Linked DNA regions of Oryza sativa Japonica Group. The protein of the gene in region 1 interacts with the protein of each later gene in a pairwise test. Links are inferred from orthologs where the notes say so. Each region holds a gene or a part of one and is shown in the gene's direction. Other genes may lie near its edges.

What was found.
Region 2: the proteins of splicing factor SF3a60 homolog (region 1) and N-alpha-acetyltransferase MAK3 interact in binary tests that used the Arabidopsis thaliana proteins (3 or more experiments, as listed by UniProt). The link is inferred for Oryza sativa Japonica Group from reciprocal best matches to the Arabidopsis thaliana genes ATO and ATMAK3.

The regions. Positions count from the first base shown.
Region 1 is NC_089037.1:29,914,567-29,923,741, reverse strand, and holds splicing factor SF3a60 homolog, read left to right. Parts: upstream 1-82; 5' UTR 83-202; coding exon 203-376; intron 377-855; coding exon 856-966; intron 967-1,476; coding exon 1,477-1,581; intron 1,582-2,248; coding exon 2,249-2,391; intron 2,392-2,726; coding exon 2,727-2,823; intron 2,824-3,072; coding exon 3,073-3,231; intron 3,232-3,335; coding exon 3,336-3,407; intron 3,408-3,500; coding exon 3,501-3,662; intron 3,663-4,736; coding exon 4,737-4,814; intron 4,815-5,104; coding exon 5,105-5,233; intron 5,234-5,540; coding exon 5,541-5,687; intron 5,688-5,885; coding exon 5,886-6,032; 3' UTR 6,033-6,278; downstream 6,279-9,175. UniProt on the Arabidopsis thaliana protein: Splicing factor homolog to SF3a60 that may be involved in pre-spliceosome formation. Is necessary for gametic cell fate determination.
Region 2 is NC_089045.1:21,019,604-21,029,348, reverse strand, and holds N-alpha-acetyltransferase MAK3, read left to right. Parts: upstream 1-4,862; 5' UTR 4,863-4,933; coding exon 4,934-5,128; intron 5,129-5,231; coding exon 5,232-5,358; intron 5,359-6,859; coding exon 6,860-6,915; intron 6,916-7,136; coding exon 7,137-7,352; 3' UTR 7,353-7,508; downstream 7,509-9,745. Other genes in the region: uncharacterized protein, read left to right, coding at 305-1,264; uncharacterized protein, read right to left, coding at 8,525-8,948, 9,242-9,735. UniProt on the Arabidopsis thaliana protein: Probably required for N-acetylation of some chloroplast precursor proteins and efficient accumulation of thylakoid multiprotein complexes.

The DNA.
Region 1 (9,175 bases):
ACATAACACAGCCGACTGGCCGAACGGCCAAGAGCCTCCCCTTTCCCATCTTAACGCGCCGCGTCCACCCGAGCCGGTTTCTGTAGCCTCCTACACTTACCGTCACCGACCGCGAAAAAATTCCCCCAAAACCCTAGCGGCGGCGGCGCGCGCTCCCCTCCCCACCTCCGCCGCCGCGGCGTCGAGGCAGCACCGGAGGGCGATGGCGTCGACGGTGCTGGAGGCGACGCGGGCGAAGCACGAGGACATGGAGAGGCTGGAGCGGCTGGCGGTGCGGGAGCTGCAGCGGGAGCCCGCCAACGCGCGCGACCGCCTCTACCAGTCCCACCGCGTGCGCCACATGCTCGACCTCGTCATCTCCACCTCCGGCAAGCTCGTAAGCAACCCCCCTCCTCCCTCCCCCCTTCCCTCAGCCTAGGGTTTTCCCGGTTGACTCATGGATGCACTAGATTTTGTTTCGTTCTGAGCTATGTTGCAGCTAGGGTTTGATGATTTCGCATGTCGGTGCATCTGTGATGCTTAGGTTTTGCGATATACTCTGAATCGGGGCTACTTAAGGTGGACTCGGGGCTGCAGAGTTGTTCTAAGATAATATTCTCCTTTTGTTGGTTTGGCTATGCTTATACGTATTAATTCATTGGAGATGGGAATTCTAGCTAGGCACATGGATTTTTGGGCCTTTTGCCTGCCAAAGTCTAAGGCAAATGTCATGGTGATCTTAGATGATTGTTTCCCTGCTTGTTTTGCCTCAGTTTATGTTGTCTGACTGTCCGACTGAGAGATGCATAATGGCATAATTAGTCATTTTTATGCGGTTACATTTTGCTTTTGCTAATGTGACTACATTTTACATAGGTGGAAATCTACGAGGACAAGGATAATGCTAGGAAGGATGAGATCTCCAACCATCTTAGTTCCACAGTGCAAGCTGAAATCTTTCCAAAGTTCTATGACAGGCTCAAAGAGGTAATGATCTATCATATTAGCCTGACTGTATCACATAAATGCATATAATTTGGGGGTATGCCATCGAATTAGGACAGCTGAAAATGATAAACCACTTATGGTGCACTTCACATGCTAAAAGAGCATCACACGCCTTCTCTTCTATTTTTTTTGTCCCTTTTAGTCTGTTTTGTGTACCAAAATCTGGCTAACCGATAACTGAAATGATTTTACAAGCTAAACTTTGTTTTCCAAACATTTAAATGGTCAACAAGCAAAACAATTAGTAGAACAGAATTTCGCTCACCAAGAGTCGTCTTTATTGAACTGTCTGCAACTCTGCATATTGGCTATATTTCCTGTTATGCACACCTTGTTGGTCCTGCTTGTTTCCTAATTGTTGCCCTGTGACCATCTATCCTCTGTGGTAAACACATGCCATCCAAACCAAAACCATGTTTGTGGAGGGCTATTCTTGGTGCATTTGTTCCGTTTTAACTTCTAATCTGTTTACTTGTTTCATGTTTGCAGATCCGTGATTACCATAGGCGTAATCCTTCTGCCCGTTTCGTTAGTGCAACTGATGATTTCGAAGAGCTACTAAAGGAGGAACCGGCTATTGAATTCACTGGAGAGGTATTTAACTTGTAACATTTTTTTCCTTGTAATCTTGCCTTTGTTTATCTTCGTACTGGTACATCATAATGTATACCATGTTTAAACTGAGTACCTGTGAACTTATGTTGACTATGTGTGCTCTGTACACTTCAATAAAGCAGTTTGCTCTGAGTATTTAGAAATGATTGGGGGCATACAAAGCATGTTTATATATAATTCTCTTAACAGAAGTTGGTAACTCCGTTACATAGGTTTGTTTTTAACCTTGATTGAATAGTCATACATATCCAAGATATTTAAATGATCGATAGAGTCCTTGTACTTCATTAAGTCCATCAGCACCTTCCACCCCTTTTAACTGCAGTAGTCTTGAACTCGAAGGTATCTCCATTGTGATACGTGTATTTTAATTTCTGCAGGATTGTTTGATTCCTCTTGTAGGATCTCGGTGGTATACATGGTAAGATTTAGGCAATGATACCATTATGGCGCAAGAACCATAACTTGAGAAATATTCTTTGCTATTCATGTTAAAATCTTTACTGACCTGGTTCTATGCACACAATGTACTTCTAATCCAACCAGAGTCGCATCGCATGTCCACCACTGTGGTTGTCATTGCTATGTACTATTTTATCATTGCTGAATTCAAGTATGCTAATGGTTTGGTTCTGCAATTTAATAGGAAGCTTTTGGCCGATACCTGGACTTGCATGAGCTTTACAATGAGTTCATAAATTCCAAGTTTGGAACTCCAATGGAATACTCAGCATATGTTGGCACCTTTTCTCATGTGGAGAAGATGGCACAAAATCTGAAAACCTCCAGGTATGCTGTATGCATTTTTTGCTTAGACCAAAAACATGTCCCCTGACCTGAATTTTGAATTAAGAATGTGCATGTCATGCTGCTTAGGTCTGTTTGCTTTCTTTTTTTTTTCTTCTGGTGGAGGTTTAGGGTAGAAAGGACCTTACGTAATTTTGGAATAATAGGACTATATGTGCTCAAGTATTTGCGTAATTAATCGTAGTTTACTTCTTTATCCTGTCTAGTATTTGTTTCATGCGTTCTGCATTGTTTTGGATGTAGTACTCTTTTTTTAGATATGCAATAATATGAGTTATGTAAAGGTTGTTTATTTATAATTTTCTTAAATATGACAGGCAATACAGAGAATACCTGGAGCATATTTTGGAGTATCTGACATCATTTCTGTATCACACAGAACCATTGCAAGACATTGAGAAGATTTTTGCAAAGGTTCCTATTCCCTTTACTTTCAATTTTGAGCATCATATGTTTTAGTTTTATTATCCTACTGACTTCTATGTAATGACAATGTATTCTATTTAAGAGTTCAAGCAACTATTTCTAGTGTTTTTAGCTAGGGTTCCTCACTGTTATTTTCACTTTTATGTTCACGTAGACACTTCATTCCTATGTAAGTTAGGCATTTCACACAATAACAAGACAACAAGTAAAAACTAACAAGCAGTACACTTTGTTCAGTTGGAAAGCGAGTTTGAAGAACAGTGGATCAATGGTGAAGTGCCTGGATGGGAGAGCAAGGACCCAGAGAAAGAATCTGCACAAGAGTCAGTAATAGACCTTGATTACTATACCACTGTTGAAGAGCTTGTTGAGCTGGGCCCAGAAAAGTTGAAAGAGGTATGACTTGCAATACGTTGTTATTATTACCTTTTTTTTCCTGTCCTATTATTCAACTTTCGTTGGGCTTTTGTACCCTATTGATTGGTTTTGGTTTTTGCCAGGCTTTAGCTGCTCGTGGATTAAAAAGTGGTGGTACTGTTCAACAGCGTGCTGAGCGACTTTTCTTGTTGAAGGTAATTAATGTACTTTTAAACCTGGATATTCAGCTCATCTTTTTTTAAATATTTACCAAATATTCTGAACTTGTCGATGATTATATCTTGCAGCATACACCCTTGGAACAATTGGATCGTAAGCATTTTGCCAAAGGTTCACACAGTTCTGTCTCCAATGCTACTTCTAATGGTAACAATTTCAAGGATAATTTGAAGAAGGAAATTGCTTTAATGGAAGTAAAGATGAGGCGCCTTTGTGAGCTACTAGATGAGGTCAGCTTTGCCTTGCTCTATGTGTGGCTGTATATATCTTTCCTTTGATATGGACTTGTATAGCTGCATTATCTAATGACATGCTTCTCTTTTACTCCCTCTGTCCCACAAAATATCAACCTAGTACCTGACTTTGACATATCCTAGTACTATGAATCTGGACATATATCTGTCCAGATTCGTAGTACTAGGATGTGTCAACATCATCAGGTACTAGGTTGGTTTTTTATGGGACGGAGGGAGTACTTGTGTAGTCAATCTTTATATATTCTACTTCGGCTTTGATAAGTGTAACCTACTGGGATTTATTAATCCATGCTGTATAGTATGATCCTTTGAATTTGTTAGATCTTCAGGATGCTTTCTTATCTTGATTGGCTAGAAGTCTAGTAGTCTGATATAGGGTGTGTTCGCTATTCCTGGATCCCAACCGGATCCCTCTGCATGGAAAACGGAGCGGTCCATTAGCGTGTGATTAATTAAGTATTAGCTATTTTTTTTTAAAAAAATGGATTAATTTGATTTTTTTTAAAGCAACTTTCATATAGAAACTTTTTGCAAAAAACACACCGTTTAGCCGTTTGAAAAGCGTGCGCGCGGAAAACGAGGGAGAGGATTTGGGAAAAGGGGCATCCGAACACACCCATAGCATGGTATTTCACTCTCATGTGTGGTGTACTGCATAACCAGTGCTGTAAAAGGCACAAAAACGGTTATCTAGGCACTTAAGCATGGAATACACGAATAGCAAAGCAAAACCACCTGAGTATGCATCAGGAGCATCAACTTTTCACAAGATGCTTGTTCTGCTAGGCAGTCATGAAAACCTTAGATTTTGTGCACAAGATAATTAACAAACATATTAAATTACATGTAGGAGAAGTTAAAAAGTACTCTGTTTTGTTCCTTACTACCAAGAATATATAGCAAGGTTAACACTTGTAATTGCTGTGTTTGCTGATATCATGATATCCCATATTTAATGTGTGCCTATATTTTTAATACACCATTTTTATGTCCATAATGAAGTTAACCTGTGCTCATGTTTTGATATATCTTATGCTATTTATGCAGATCATTGTACGGACAAAGGAAAATGCAGAGAAGAAGCTGACTCTCACATATGAAGAAATGGAAGCAGAACGAGAAGAGGTAATCTGCATGCAGCCCTCTTAAATTCTGTTTTCTGATCTGCAAAAGGCCCTGATAGTAGAATAAAGGTCAAAGGTCATGTTGGGTCATACATTTTTTAACAGAGGGAGTAAAGATATGTTTAGTTAGAATTTTAGTTATTAGTGTGATACTTCGCTTCTAATTTTGTCCAAGAGTTCACAACTTGGTTCTACTTTTCCTCTATTTTCTTCTCCGTACTTCACAGAAGTAAAATAATAATATTCTACTCAAAGTACTGAACCTTTTGTCCTTTGTATTTTTTTCTATAGGAAGAAGTGCAAGCTGATAGTGAAAGTGATGATGAAGACCAACAAATCTACAATCCTCTTAAGTTGCCGATGGGTTGGGACGGCAAACCTATACCCTATTGGCTATATAAGCTCCATGGTCTTGGTCAGGTAAATATCTCATTGGTTTATATCTAAAGATTATTTAGTTCATGGCTGTTTTGCTAAATCATATCTTAGTATTACCAATGTTTAGAGCTGCAAAATTCCTGTTTTGCCAAAACAGAATGCTAATTTCTATAGACTACAAATGGTATTTGCATTCTCACATGCTCCATTTATTTTTTGTATTTTTATTCATTTTTCAATAATACCCTGAGCTTCAGCATTGGTGGCATCATTTTCCCATACAGTTCTAGATATTTACATATGATTTTAAATTGTTAACATATCTTAATTGCTATGATTTTTTTGTCAGGAATTCAAATGTGAGATATGTGGAAACCACAGCTACTGGGGGCGACGGGCTTATGAGCGGCATTTCAAGGAGTGGCGCCATCAGCACGGGATGCGCTGTCTTGGAATTCCTAATACTAAGAACTTCAATGAAATCACATCCATCCAGGTAAATCATCACTTTATGCTACCTGTACATCCACTGAATAGCTTAATTTGTTCTCTCAGAAATTTGAGAGAAATGAGTACTTTGCTTAATCTTCCCATATTGGCTGTTTTTATACATGTTCTCAGAAATTACTGTTGCTGCGAATGTGGTAAATTGGTAATGGAAGGGGCAATTGACACCTCTTATTTCTGTTTTCAGGAGGCAAAAGAACTCTGGGAGAAAATTCAACAACGACAAGGGCTGAACAAGTGGCGGCCAGACCTAGAAGAAGAGTACGAAGATCAGGAGGGAAATATCTACAACAAGAAGACCTACACTGATCTGCAGCGCCAGGGCCTGATTTAGAATCCCTGATGCGATCCTAACATTTTGGCCCCTATGGGCTGCTGCTGAAGTGGTTGGCCATTTGTTCTATTGAACTTCGTTGACCTCTGGGTAGTTGTAGCACTCGATACTTGTAGCACCATGGGTACTCCATTGCTCAAATGTTTCTTTTCTACTACATGGTATATTGCACTATATCCCTGTACCCTGTTTGACCATCTGGTATACTGTTTGCACAATCCAGGGTTAAATCGCCATTGTGTCGGAGATGTCGGAGTCAAACTTTATATCCAGAACACTAGAATGGATACTTCTAGAGGCATGCGTCCTATACATCTAATTTTGATAGGTTTAAACATGATCTAGAATGCGCACACAAAGATTATAAAAAAGCATAAAAGGCCAAAGAGAAAAAAGAGAGGAAGGAACGAGGGTGTAGTTTTCAATGTCTCGATGTTTGGTCTCCAAGACTAAAATGTCGCTTTAGTGCCAGCCATCAACGCTGATAGGAATTGGGATAAAAACACAACAAATATGTCGCAAATCAGCAGGCCTAACCTATCCCTGCCAATTGCTTCCAACTACCTATTTATAGTTTTAGAGAACGCCCAATTGGCAGTAAAATACAGCTACTACTGATTGGCCTCTCTAGGGTAATTTTCGCATGGAGTCACAACCCGAATCTATTAAAAACTCAAAACGACAAAATCCAGAGTTTATAAGAAGAATACTTAAATCGTGTGGGCAGGGGGGGAACCCTGCAAGCAACACAGCATATTCACAAGCAAATGAAAGTAGGCAGAGACAAGAGTTCTTGTGCAAGGTTCAATGCTCCCATGATGAGATCGAGATGTCACTTTTGCAAGATGATGAGAAGATCTCATGGCCCACCACTAATTGGGCAAGCTTTGAATTTTCGCTCCTGTTCTGTGTGCTCCATGTTGCATTTTTTTCCCTTTAGGGAAAAGCTAGAGAGGGACCCAATTTGATATGGCTTGTTTCCTGTCTGCCATCAGAAGAGGCAATTTTTTGGATGGGTCAAAATCACCTCGGAAGGTTATCCGGGCTAAATCGGACGGCTGCACACAGATAATAGGGAGCAGGTAACATTGTTTTGTTCTTCAATTCTGCTAGAAGCCTTAACTTCTACTACATGCCAGTTAAGTACTACATCCATGCATAAATATATGACGTTGGTTAGTTTAATTTTGAGCTAATCAACGTCAAACAAAAAATATGGAGGGAGTAGTAAGTGTGGCGGTAGAGTTATGGATGTATAAATTTTACTTATCAGATTAAATTTGTGAACACATGTGGTGATTTGTGTGCGTGTACGGTCTTCCGTGTAATTTAAAAAGGGATTGCCATTCTTCATCTTCAAATTAGGTATACTTATAACTAACTGCCCATGTCAAAGTAGCATTTACATCAGCGAGAAAACACTGCCATGACACTAGAATGGAGTAACATGTCCAAAACTAGGGGTAAAAAGAACGGTTTACACCATCATGACAACTACAATTGAGTAATATGTCCAAAACTAGGGGTAAAAAAAAGGGTTTTTTCAACCCATGGTAAGAAAATAGAATCCAAGTAGTTTTGGAGGCTACCAATGGCAGAGAGGTCAGTCAAAACGAATGAAAAACAAGAAAAATGCGCAGATATACCGTCAGAAAAGGAACGTGACCTTCGTGCTCAATGCTAAGGACCTGTAGAAAGTTTTTTCCAAAAACATCACATCGAATCTTTGAACATATGCATAAAACATTAAATATAGATAAAAATAAAAACTAATTGCACAGTTAGGGGAAATTGCGAGACGAATCTTTTGAGCCTAATTAGTTCATGATTAGCCATAAATGCTACAGTAACCCACACGTGCTAATGACGGATTAATTAGGCTCAAAAGATTCGTCTCGCGGTTTCCATACAAGTTATGAAATTAGTTTTTTTCATTCGTGTCCGAAAACCCCTTCCGACATCCGGTTAAACGTCCGATGTGACACCAAAGAATTTTCATTTCGCGAACTAAACGGGGCCTAAGCCAAACTATCTATCGATCGGCACCGACTTACAATTTTTTTCTTTAATCTTTACTTACAAACAGAAGCTATTCTGCAAATGATTTCATTAGCAAAAAGAAAAATCTTAATTCTTTGTTAATTGTTAGTCATATCAGTACAAGGATGTCGGGATTCTTGCCATGTGAAGAGAAGTACTCCCACTGCAGGACTGGCTGATTGTTGGCAGGTGGTAGTACAATTATTGGCCCATTGCCAGCACTATCATCAGACCAGATAGTCCTGGCTAGATCATAGATCACCGGTGCTGTGCATGCATTGCACGAATCTCTGTTGCTGCTGCTGCCACTCAGCTTAAAATTTTCTCCCCAAATAATTATGATCTACTAGGAGTAGTAGCAGTAGTGCTCCTTAACAGGACCCACAAGACTAGTGCTACTGGTATCAATTATACTACAGGAATGAGTTGAATTGGATCAGATTGTGGCTATCTTTGGGGGAACTTCTCCCAGCTGAAAAAAGCTGCTTCTGCTAGAAGCTGCTCTAAACAGTCCACAGCTTCTGAGAATCTGTAGTTACAGATTCTGAGAAATGAACTAAGAAGCCAGAAATTGGAGAAGCTGGGTTTCAGAGCTTTTCCATATTCTTAGCAGTTGGCTATCAAATAGGGATGAAAACGGAGCGGATAGTTTCCGTCCGCTCCGGACAAAAGCGGATACGGATACCTTTCGGATCGGATAATTCTCGGATAGTTCGGATACGGATACGAATACGGATATTTTCTCCCGGATACGAATACGAATATGGTACTAGGGTTTCCGTCGGATACAGATAATAATTCGGATATCCGGTGAACAGTGCTATTCGGATATCCGCAGGACCCACGAGACATACCCCATTTCTTTCTAACTCTATAACCTTCAATATAACTTTATATAACTTTATAGATTTTAATAGTAGTTTATTTCTTAACACTAGTCCATACTATTAATATTATTTAAATTTTAAAAAATATTTATAAATTATACCTCATTTTATATAAAATGAGCTAATTATATATGTTGATATTTGTTTCCATTAGAAGTTGAGTTGGTTTTCGTGTTCCGAGAAAAATTTGTTTCCGTATTCGTGTCCGATCATATT
Region 2 (9,745 bases), on another chromosome or scaffold:
CAGAAAATGAATTCAAAATGTTTGGGGACCTCAAAAAGTGCGTCATACCGTGTCGTTCTTGAGTCACGCGCGCATAGTTTCCGAAAGATATTTGACCAGAAATTAACGCTGCTGATGCGAGGTCAAAATTCTCGTCTACCTGATTCTTTTCAGATTTCCAGGCAATTGCCGGGGAAAATCTGAAAGCATCCTTACTTAAATCAGCGTACTTGATGGTGAATTTACACCAAACAATTTTGATTTTTTGAGCGAAAGGTAATTTGTGTAGCTGCTTGATCAGCTTACACTCTCTTGAAGTTTCTATATGAATACCGCGGCGGCGCGCGGAGGCGATGGCGTTGCCGGCGTCCAGCTCCAGGAGTTCGCCTACTTCGTGGTCATCGACTTGGAGGCGACGTGCGAGAGGGGGAGGAGGATATACCCGCAGGAGATCATCGAGTTCGCCTCCGTCGTCGTCGACGGCGCCACCGGCGAGCAGCTGGCGGAGGCGTTCCGGGCGTACGTCCGGCCGTTGCACCACCGGGAGCTCACCGATTACTGCCGGGAGCTCACCGGCATCGCGCAGGCCGACGTCGACGCCGGCGTGGACCTCCGCGAGGCGCTGCGCGCGCACGACGCGTGGCTGGACGCGAGGGGCGTCAAGAACGCCGCCGGCGGCGGCGGCGGCGGAGGAGGGTTCGCCGTGGTGACGTGGGGCGACTGGGACTGCCGCACCATGCTGGAGGGGGAGTGCCGGTTCAAGGGGATCATCGGCGACGGCAAGCCGGAGTACTTCGACCGGTGGATCAACCTCAAGGTCCCCTTCCGGCAGGTGTTCGACCGCGGCGGCGCCCGCCGGATCGGACTGGAGGAGGCGCTCGCCGTGGCCGGGCTGGCGTTCGAGGGGCGGCCGCACAGCGGCCTCGACGACGCGCGCAACACGGCGCGCCTCCTCGCGCTCCTGATGCGCCGGCGAGGAGGGGTCAGGCTCGCCATCACCGGCTCGCTGCCGCCGCCGCCGCGGCCGCCGTCGCAGCTGGTCGCCATTGGCGCCAGCGCGGCCGCGACGCCGGCGGCCGCCGCGCCGGGAGTCGGCGGCGGTGGCGCGCGCGTGCACTACTGCCAGTGCGGCGTGGCGAGCAGGGTGGGGGTGGCGCGGAGGCCGGGGCCGACGCAGGGGCGGCGCTTCTTCGGGTGCGGCAGGTGGACGCCGGCGAGAGGGGCGGTGTGCTCCTACTTTGTGTGGGAGGACGTTGATATGTCTCGAGCAAATCCACGGCCATAGCTCATTTCGTATTTAATAATAATAATAATAATAATAATAATAATAATAATAATAATAATAATAATAATGTTTTTGTGCTAATAACTTGGACGAGCTATCAGCCTATCACGCTGTGGCTTTGTAACTGTGTCGCAGATTTACGAAAGTTTTACACTTACCGAAGGCGACTACAGACCTGTGGGTTTGGCATTGGTCTACTTGAGTTGAGCTATGAGTGCCCTCATGAAAAAAAAATAAATTACGTCACTTTGAATTGGGACACTATCGAATCACTAGCTCTACAATGGAGGTCACGATGTAGTATTTTGGTAGCTTTTAAAAAATAAATTATACTATAGTAAGTTAAAATTAAATTTAAAATTTTGACTGCGGAAGGTAGGAGGAAGAGCAACTGAAGGGTTGTCTACATAAGGGGACATAAGGAAGATGGCAAAATTTGTTACATGGCATTTAAAATATATAGTTTTGTTGCCAGACACCCCAAAAACATGAATTTGCCCAATAACACTTTAAAAATGTGGCATTTTACCCTAGGACACGTATGCATTAAAATATAATATACATCTCATTGATGAGAGAGAAAACATGCAAAATGTTAGTTTTACCCCCTATCTTCTCCCCCATTCTCACAGTCATCTTCCGGCAATAGGACGACGAGATCCCTGCGTAGCACCTGTGGGCAATAGGACGGAGGACGAGATGCCCGGTGGGCGACGATGCACCTGACACGGCTCAAGGTGTGGTAAATGGTGAGCAAGGTGGTGCGGCAAAGAGGACGGGTGGAATTATGACGTGCGGAGGGTGAACAAGCGGACGCTCAGAGAGCACCTGTCGTCAGGTGATGGCGAGACGCTCGCATCGTGTGAAGGCCACCGGCGATGGTCGAGTGCATGGTGTGCCCATGCCTGGAGAAGATGGGCTACAACCTCAACAAATCGTGCCTTGTCTTCTGCTCCACCAGCGCTGCCCTTCGCCGTCTCTGCTGCAGATGGCACGGATGACCTTGTTCCCCGTAGCGGTATGTGGCACAGCTCGAAGCTACCGGCCCTGCTGCCTATGGTGGCTAGCAGATCGGGAGCAACACGGTAAAAAAAAAAAGGTGGCAGCCCCCTAGGGGGCGACGGCAGCGGAAGCGGTGAGCGGCAGTCCTAGGTCGCCCGCTCTGATACCATGTTGGATAGCATAGAGACGAGAGGAATACTGCATAACGTGGATCTATTGTATTGAGTCAGGGGACCGGTATATATAAGAGTACTTAGGGAGGAGATAAGGAAGGATTACACATATGGAAGGAGTCCACACAAATCAATCATATCCTAATATGACTCTAACTACCATATACTCTAACACTCACCTCTAGCAACGGCTGTCCGGGACCCACGCCCGCTCCTCCCTCCTCCACCGACGACACAATCCCAATCTCCAAACCTCTCCCCCTGCCCCCCCAATCTCCATGGTGAAGAAGAGAGGGCAACAGTGCCATTTTGTTAAATTCTCTCTCTGGCTCGAATGAAAATAATAGTTTAATGGTGTTAGTGTCCAGCAGCAAATTATTCTTGAGCAAATTGACGTTCCTATGGTGTCTACCAACAAAGATCACTATAGTGCGTGTTTGCTGCTATGAATGTACTAAAATCTTCTATCTACTAATTATTATTTTATCTTGGTTTCTATTGACGATATGTCCTATTGTCCTGTAGAAATTGACATGCTTCACTTTGCAATTTTTACCATCATACTTTCTATTAGTCCTGCCCCATGTTATGTGCTTTTGGTTTTGTTGTCTATCCGATCATGGCCGAGACTCGAGAGGTGAATTGTTCAAGATCGATTCATTAGGATTAATTAGGAGTGTTTTTAAACTGTTGGTGGTTTGTTGTATTGCACATAGGTTGCTCATGAATCTTTGTGTAACTAGCGGGCATTTTGTTAATTGGAGAATTAGTGATAATTTTGTTGATGGCGGGTGAATCCGTCGCCAACGACCATGGGGACGATGGCGGTGGGCCTTGGGCAAGGCGGCGGCGACGGCGGCGGTGGCGGCAACGGTCTCCCAGCCTTGGGCGTCTGGATCCGTCACCGGCGACCGCGGGGACAACGGCGATGGGCCTCGGGCAGGCCGGCAGCGGTGGTGGCGGCTGGATTAGGGTTCCAAGACGGCTTTTGATTTTCACGTGTGGGTGCTTCACTTGCACGAAAAAATCGGATTTTCACAGATACTTCGTTCCAGACAGGCGAAAGATCCGCACGCGAAAACCGCTTTTGACCGCATGGAAAAATCATTATTGTACTAGTGTGCGTACGAAGCAAACTGGGATTGAAAATGTGATGCCATGAATGCAATTTAAATTGAAACGATTTAGGATGATACTTTTTTTAATAAGTATTCAAAGACGAAACCAATTTGATTCAGTATGAGTGGTACTTGGTCTTTCATTTGTAATAATCAACTATATATACTAATTCCCAAAAATTTTAGTCTAAACTTTGTGGAGTTGACACCTCCAAGACCATTCTTATGGGTAAAAAAGATAAGATGTGTTACGAAGATAAAGGTTTTCATGTGGCTCATATTCTGTAATAGGCTAAATACGAGAAATATGCTTGATAGAAAATATTATCCTTAAGAAGATGCGACCTTTTATGAGTGATTTGCTTTAGTACAGAAAAAGAAACTCCCATACAACTTTTTCTTTTCTTGTCCTTGCAGCAGAAATTGTTGGGAGAGAATTGGTACAAAAATGAATGATAACCTAGAACTCTTTCACATGTTGGTCTTGGCAAGAATTAGATTCATAAGAAAGGAAAAATGTTTATTGCAGGCATATCTGAAAATAAAGAAATAGGAAGATCTTTGAGAATATTACTCATGGAATGGAAGTCTTTCTTTGTCCAAGATGAATGACTCTCTTAGCTCCCTGAATTCTTCTTGGTTACAATGGTTATAATTTTATTTCTTTTATTCTTTTCTTGTTTGTACATAACTTTTTTTAATATATATAACAAATAGGCAAGGTCTGGTAGTTATTTTTTTTAATAAAAAGGAAAGTGAAAAGGAAAGGTAAGAGAATGGACAATAGTGTGACGTCAGCATTTGAGAGAAAATGCCACATACAAATTTTTGATGCGGAGGAAAGAAAAGTAGGATATAGGAGGATGTCGTCATATATAATAACTAGAGAATACCCCGCGTGTTCTCCGGGATTCCGAGTCTTAATGCAAGTTGCTGTGGAATTCCACTATAAATAGTCTCCCTTTGTCCCATATTTCTTGTCTTCCAGATTTAGGGCTTCACACTGACACCATAATTTACAATGGTAAATCGATAATTTTGTGGTTGCATTTAGTTTAGTACCAAATATTGATAATGTTTATGGAAATTGGTGACATCACATTTATTCCATCATATCAAAACTTAAACAATTTTATCAACTTACCAAAAATTTTGATTTGACTAAATTTTAAAAAGGTTTATTTTGGTAGTAATAATCTTAAACATGTCCTCGCTAAAGATTGGGGGAGACGTGGAGTACATAGGAGTATGTTCCAGTCTTTAGGTGTGATTGCTTTAAGATTGGTGACGCCACGTGTCAAGATTGTAGAACGGGCGTGGGGTTCAAGTGCCTCTCCCCAACAGGAGTACCTCGTCGGCGACCTGCGGCGGCGGCGATGTCGGCGGCGGCGGCGGAGGCCACCGAGCGGGGCGAGCCCTCGGGCGGAGGCGGAGAGATCGCGTACGTCAGCTACGGCGGGGAGCACCACCTCCCGCTGGTGATGTCGCTGGTGGACGAGGAGCTCAGCGAGCCCTACTCCATCTTCACCTACCGCTACTTCGTCTACCTCTGGCCCCAGCTCACCTTCCTCGTACGCCCTCTCCTCCCCTCACCTCGCGCGCGTGTTTCACAAGAGTTCGTGAGGATTTGATGCGTTCTTGGTTGATTTGATTTGGGGGACAACCCCTCAAAAGGCGTTCGATCCCAAGGATGGCAAGTGCGTGGGGACGGTGGTGTGCAAGATGGGGGAGCACAGGGGGGCCTTCAGGGGGTACATCGCCATGCTCGTCGTGCTCAAGCCCTACCGCGGCAGGGGAATCGGTGAGCCCTCCTTCGATTCTCCAAGAAGAGTTTCTCTGTTTGTTTGATTGGTTGATTGACTGGTTTGTTTCAAAAGGGAGCATATTCTTCCCTTTGATAGTATCTGCACAAGTCTGTCCTGAAAGGAAGCGTAGACCACTCATGAATCTAAATAAGAACTTAAGAATCCTGCTGATTGGGAGGAAAGCAAAGGGTTTTTCAGTTTTTGTTCCAATTCGATCTGAAATGGCTGGCACCTGGTGGAGTGGTGGGCGATTTAGTACGGATTTACAATCTTCCATCGATTTCGATATGATATCCATATGTACTAAATAGGTGTTTTTCCCTTGTTATGCTTGCACAAACTTAATTGAGTATCACTTTTACATGTGTCAAGAAATTACTAGCTATAGGTCTTATAAGTCTAATTTGTTTCATGATCCTTTCACACTACCATTTACTTGTTTTTTCTCTGTAATAGTTGCTTTGTGTTGATATGGTATTATTTTTGTCTTAACATCAGCAAGTGAAATATGTCTGTGTAGCAGAGTGGAACGAAAACTAGCTTACTAAGTGTTACTGGTTTTCTAAAAACGATGCCATGTTAAGTATTTAGTAGGATTTCTTTGTTCTTTGCCTGCTTGATTTGCAGAAAGGAAAGGCATTTTTTTATTTCTTTTATGGGTACAATAGCCTTCTATTGTTCCCTTCTCTTAAACTATATAATCTTCTCTCATCAGTTTCAATTGAGATTTGTGCTATTATTTTGATAAAATGTTAGTTAACTTTGTTTAGGTGGTTTTCTAGTTTTGTGTAGGAGTAGGTATTGTGTTATGAACCAATATTCCCATGTTTAGTTTTCCCTGTGACAGATGTCTCGTGTTGGGTGCTTCAGCGATTCAGTCTGTGGCACATGAGAGCATTTTGGTCGATTAGTTCTTTATGGTTGGAGCCATTTAGCACTTCATCTGATGTTGTAGTATGCAGCCTAACCTTATCGTTACATCAACTTCTTGCATGAGATGATTTCTTCTTAGTGTCATACACTTGGAAGCGTGCTGACTATAATTGATGTAGCAATAAATAGGTGTGGTGCGACTTGCTAATGCATATATCCTGTGTGGGGAGTACATTTTTCATAATACTTTTATCATGAAATGCACACTGATATTTACATATATCTTGGTACAATGGTACAGATAGTCTGTTTATCTGAAAAACATTGCCTTTGTTGTTTCTGTAATGACATTCGCAGCAAGGATCTTGACAGCTTTAATTGTTGAATCCTGCCTGACATGAATGACCTTTCTCGATGTATGAATAGAGTATATGGTAGCTTTGTCATCTGTTAAGAGTATTGCGAAAGCTCCAGCTTCAGTTCGAATAGCTTTCCTGAAGTATACAAGTGCTTTGCTTTTGCAAATGGTCCCCATTTGTCTTTTTTAATTTTATCTGTAATAAGCAATTAAATGGACACTATGTTGGCCTTTATCAGCTAACCCTCTGTTTCTTCATGGTACAGCCACCGAATTGGTTACGAGATCTATTCGGGTAATGATGGAATCTGGCTGTGAGGAGGTAATCACCACTGTGTTGTTATCTTCTCACCCGATGAAAAACTTATTATTATCCTATTGTCGTTTTGGTACCCATCACTTGACTTTCTTGGTGTAAAATTGCTTCATTGATTATTCAATTATGCCCTAGACTAATCTGCAATTTCCATAATAACAATAATATCTTTCGTGAAATTAGTACAAAAATTGAATTATTTGATATCTGACTCACTCTCCAACCAGGTGACACTTGAAGCAGAAGTTACGAACAAGGGCGCCCTCGCCTTATATGGTCGTTTGGGTTTCATCCGAGCAAAGAGGCTGTACAGATACTATCTGAATGGCGTCGACGCATTTCGCCTGAAGCTGCTATTTCCTCGCCCTGATCCTGGTATGCATCCAATGATGATGCTAGGCAATGAGAGAGATGACCAGCACATGGATTCTCCTTACTTGTGATACCATTCTGGTCGATTGATAGGATGAGTTAGGATCCAAGGCATTTTGCTCTTTTATGTCAGTTTGATGATGCTTTTGTAGCTTTGCTGTAACTCTTGTAACATTGATGTGTTCAAAGATAGTATCTTATTTGACATGGCATTATGTTTCTTTCAATCCATGTTAGACGGTTGAAAAAGAATGCCTTATTACATACTCCCTCCGTTTCTAAATATTTTACATCATTGACTTTTTAGCATATGTTTGACCATTCGTCTTATTTAAAAACTTTTGTGAAATATGTAAAACTATATGTATACATAAAAGTATATTTAACAATGAATCAAATGATAGGAAAAGAATTAATAATTACTTAAATTTTTTGAATAAGACGAACGGTCAAACATATTTAAAAAAATCAACGGCGTCAAATATTTAGAAACGGAGGGAGTATATTTCATTACTTGGCACTAGGAAGAAGAGTAGTTGGGGTATGAATTTGTATACCGTTTCGAATATTTCGATCCATTTCCTAAATTTATGGATTCATTGATCTTACTGGCTAACCCCTGCATATGCGGATATGCCACACATCAGCATCTACCCAACTACAAACTGCAAGATTCTTCATATTCATTATGAGCCTAAAAGTCCTTGCAAAACAGTTAAGCCTAGAAGTTACTATATTATAATTCATTTTGATTTTTTTCCCACGGCAAACTTATTTAGTTTTGATCAAATTTATAGAAAAATATAGCAATATTTTAAACATAAAAACAAAAGGCCATCAAAATATATTCAGTGTTATATTTACTAAAATTAATTTGGTGCTATAAATATTTCTATAGTTTTCTATAAACTTGATCAAAGGTACTATCAAGAAGTTTGACTTAAATAAGTCAAAGCAACTTATAATATAAACAAGGAGTATTTACATATAATCTTGGCTCACACATGCAGCTACATAGGATGCCACCAATCTAGCCAAGCTACATGTAGGAGACGAATCACTCTAATACCTTATGCACAAAAATTACATGATAAAATTATATGGGGAGGTTATGGCCACCATCGATGATACGGGATCGCTAGTGCATCCGGTGGCATATGTGAAGCTCAGGAGGATGAAGAAGCAGCAGCACTTGGTCTGAGAATAACATTGTTAGCAGAAACATCAGTTGGCCATGGAGTAATCACTGGTATGCTGGTGGTGCTGCGACAGCATATACTGACGGAGCAGCAGCCACATTGTTTCCATCACAGGATGCTGTGTTCCCTGGGTAGGAGTAGATCGCCGAGGAAGCTCCATAACAGTAGTAGGTTCCAGGTGCATGAGTGATGTAAGTGGCTGCCTGCTCGAATTGGCTCCCCTCAGATGAATGTGCCGCAGCTCCAATCACACTGCTTGGCATAGACCCATAATTCCTAACGAGTTGTAAGTTTGTCATAGCTGCCCCAGTTGCTGAAGCACTTGGAGTAGCCCCAGAATTACAAACTAGTTCTGAGTTTGTCGCAGCTGCCTCAGGTGCTGCGGTTGCACCACTTGGAATGGACCCATAATGGCTAATAGGTTGCAAGTTTGTCGTGGCCGCCTCATGCTCTGTACCGTAGGTAATTCTGAAATTGAAGACAGTAGCAAGGAACAAGTAAGACTTCCAAGTAGCTGCAAGTAATGTTCTTTCAGATTTTAGACAAAATCGCAAATTATGGTTCTCTATTGCGCCTGCAGGCTGCAAGTATCAGTTCATTAAGTTTTTCAAACTATGTCCAGTAACTGAACAACATAGTTTTGAGACATCAATGTTGTCAGCATTGGCCTACACGCTAAACATAATTTAATTCGGTTCGGAGAAACAGCCAACACATTATAAAATTGACAAACAGGAAGTACTAGAACCATAAACGCGTACCTCTCAGATGTAGTTCCTAAGTAGTGTGATCTTGGAGGATCAACTGGGTGCATGCCAATTTGGTGGGCGGCATAATATGGGGCAGTATAGTAGCCAGTAGCCGAAACATGATCAGAAAGAGATTGTTGGCCATAGAGATTGTTGGCCATAGAGATATTGTTGGCTGAGGGCAATGAACTATATGCTGTGTGCGCTGCTTGATATGGATACTCAGCTGTTGACATATGGTAAGGAGGTGTAGTGAACTGCATGTTTGGAGGAGGCATCTGAGCATATGAATGTGCATAAGATTCAGGTGGCATCGGATGAGCAGTCAAAGGAGGAATATAAGAAGTTTGGTGCTGCTGATGCACATAAGCAGCTGGCTGTGATGGATGAGAAGCAGGAGGTAGGTAAACAGCAGGAGGAACAGGATGCCTGTCACTGTCATTATGGAAGAGTGCAGATTCTGGCATTACAATAATTGGACGAAACAATGCTCTCAGTTTCTCAACCTACAGCAGA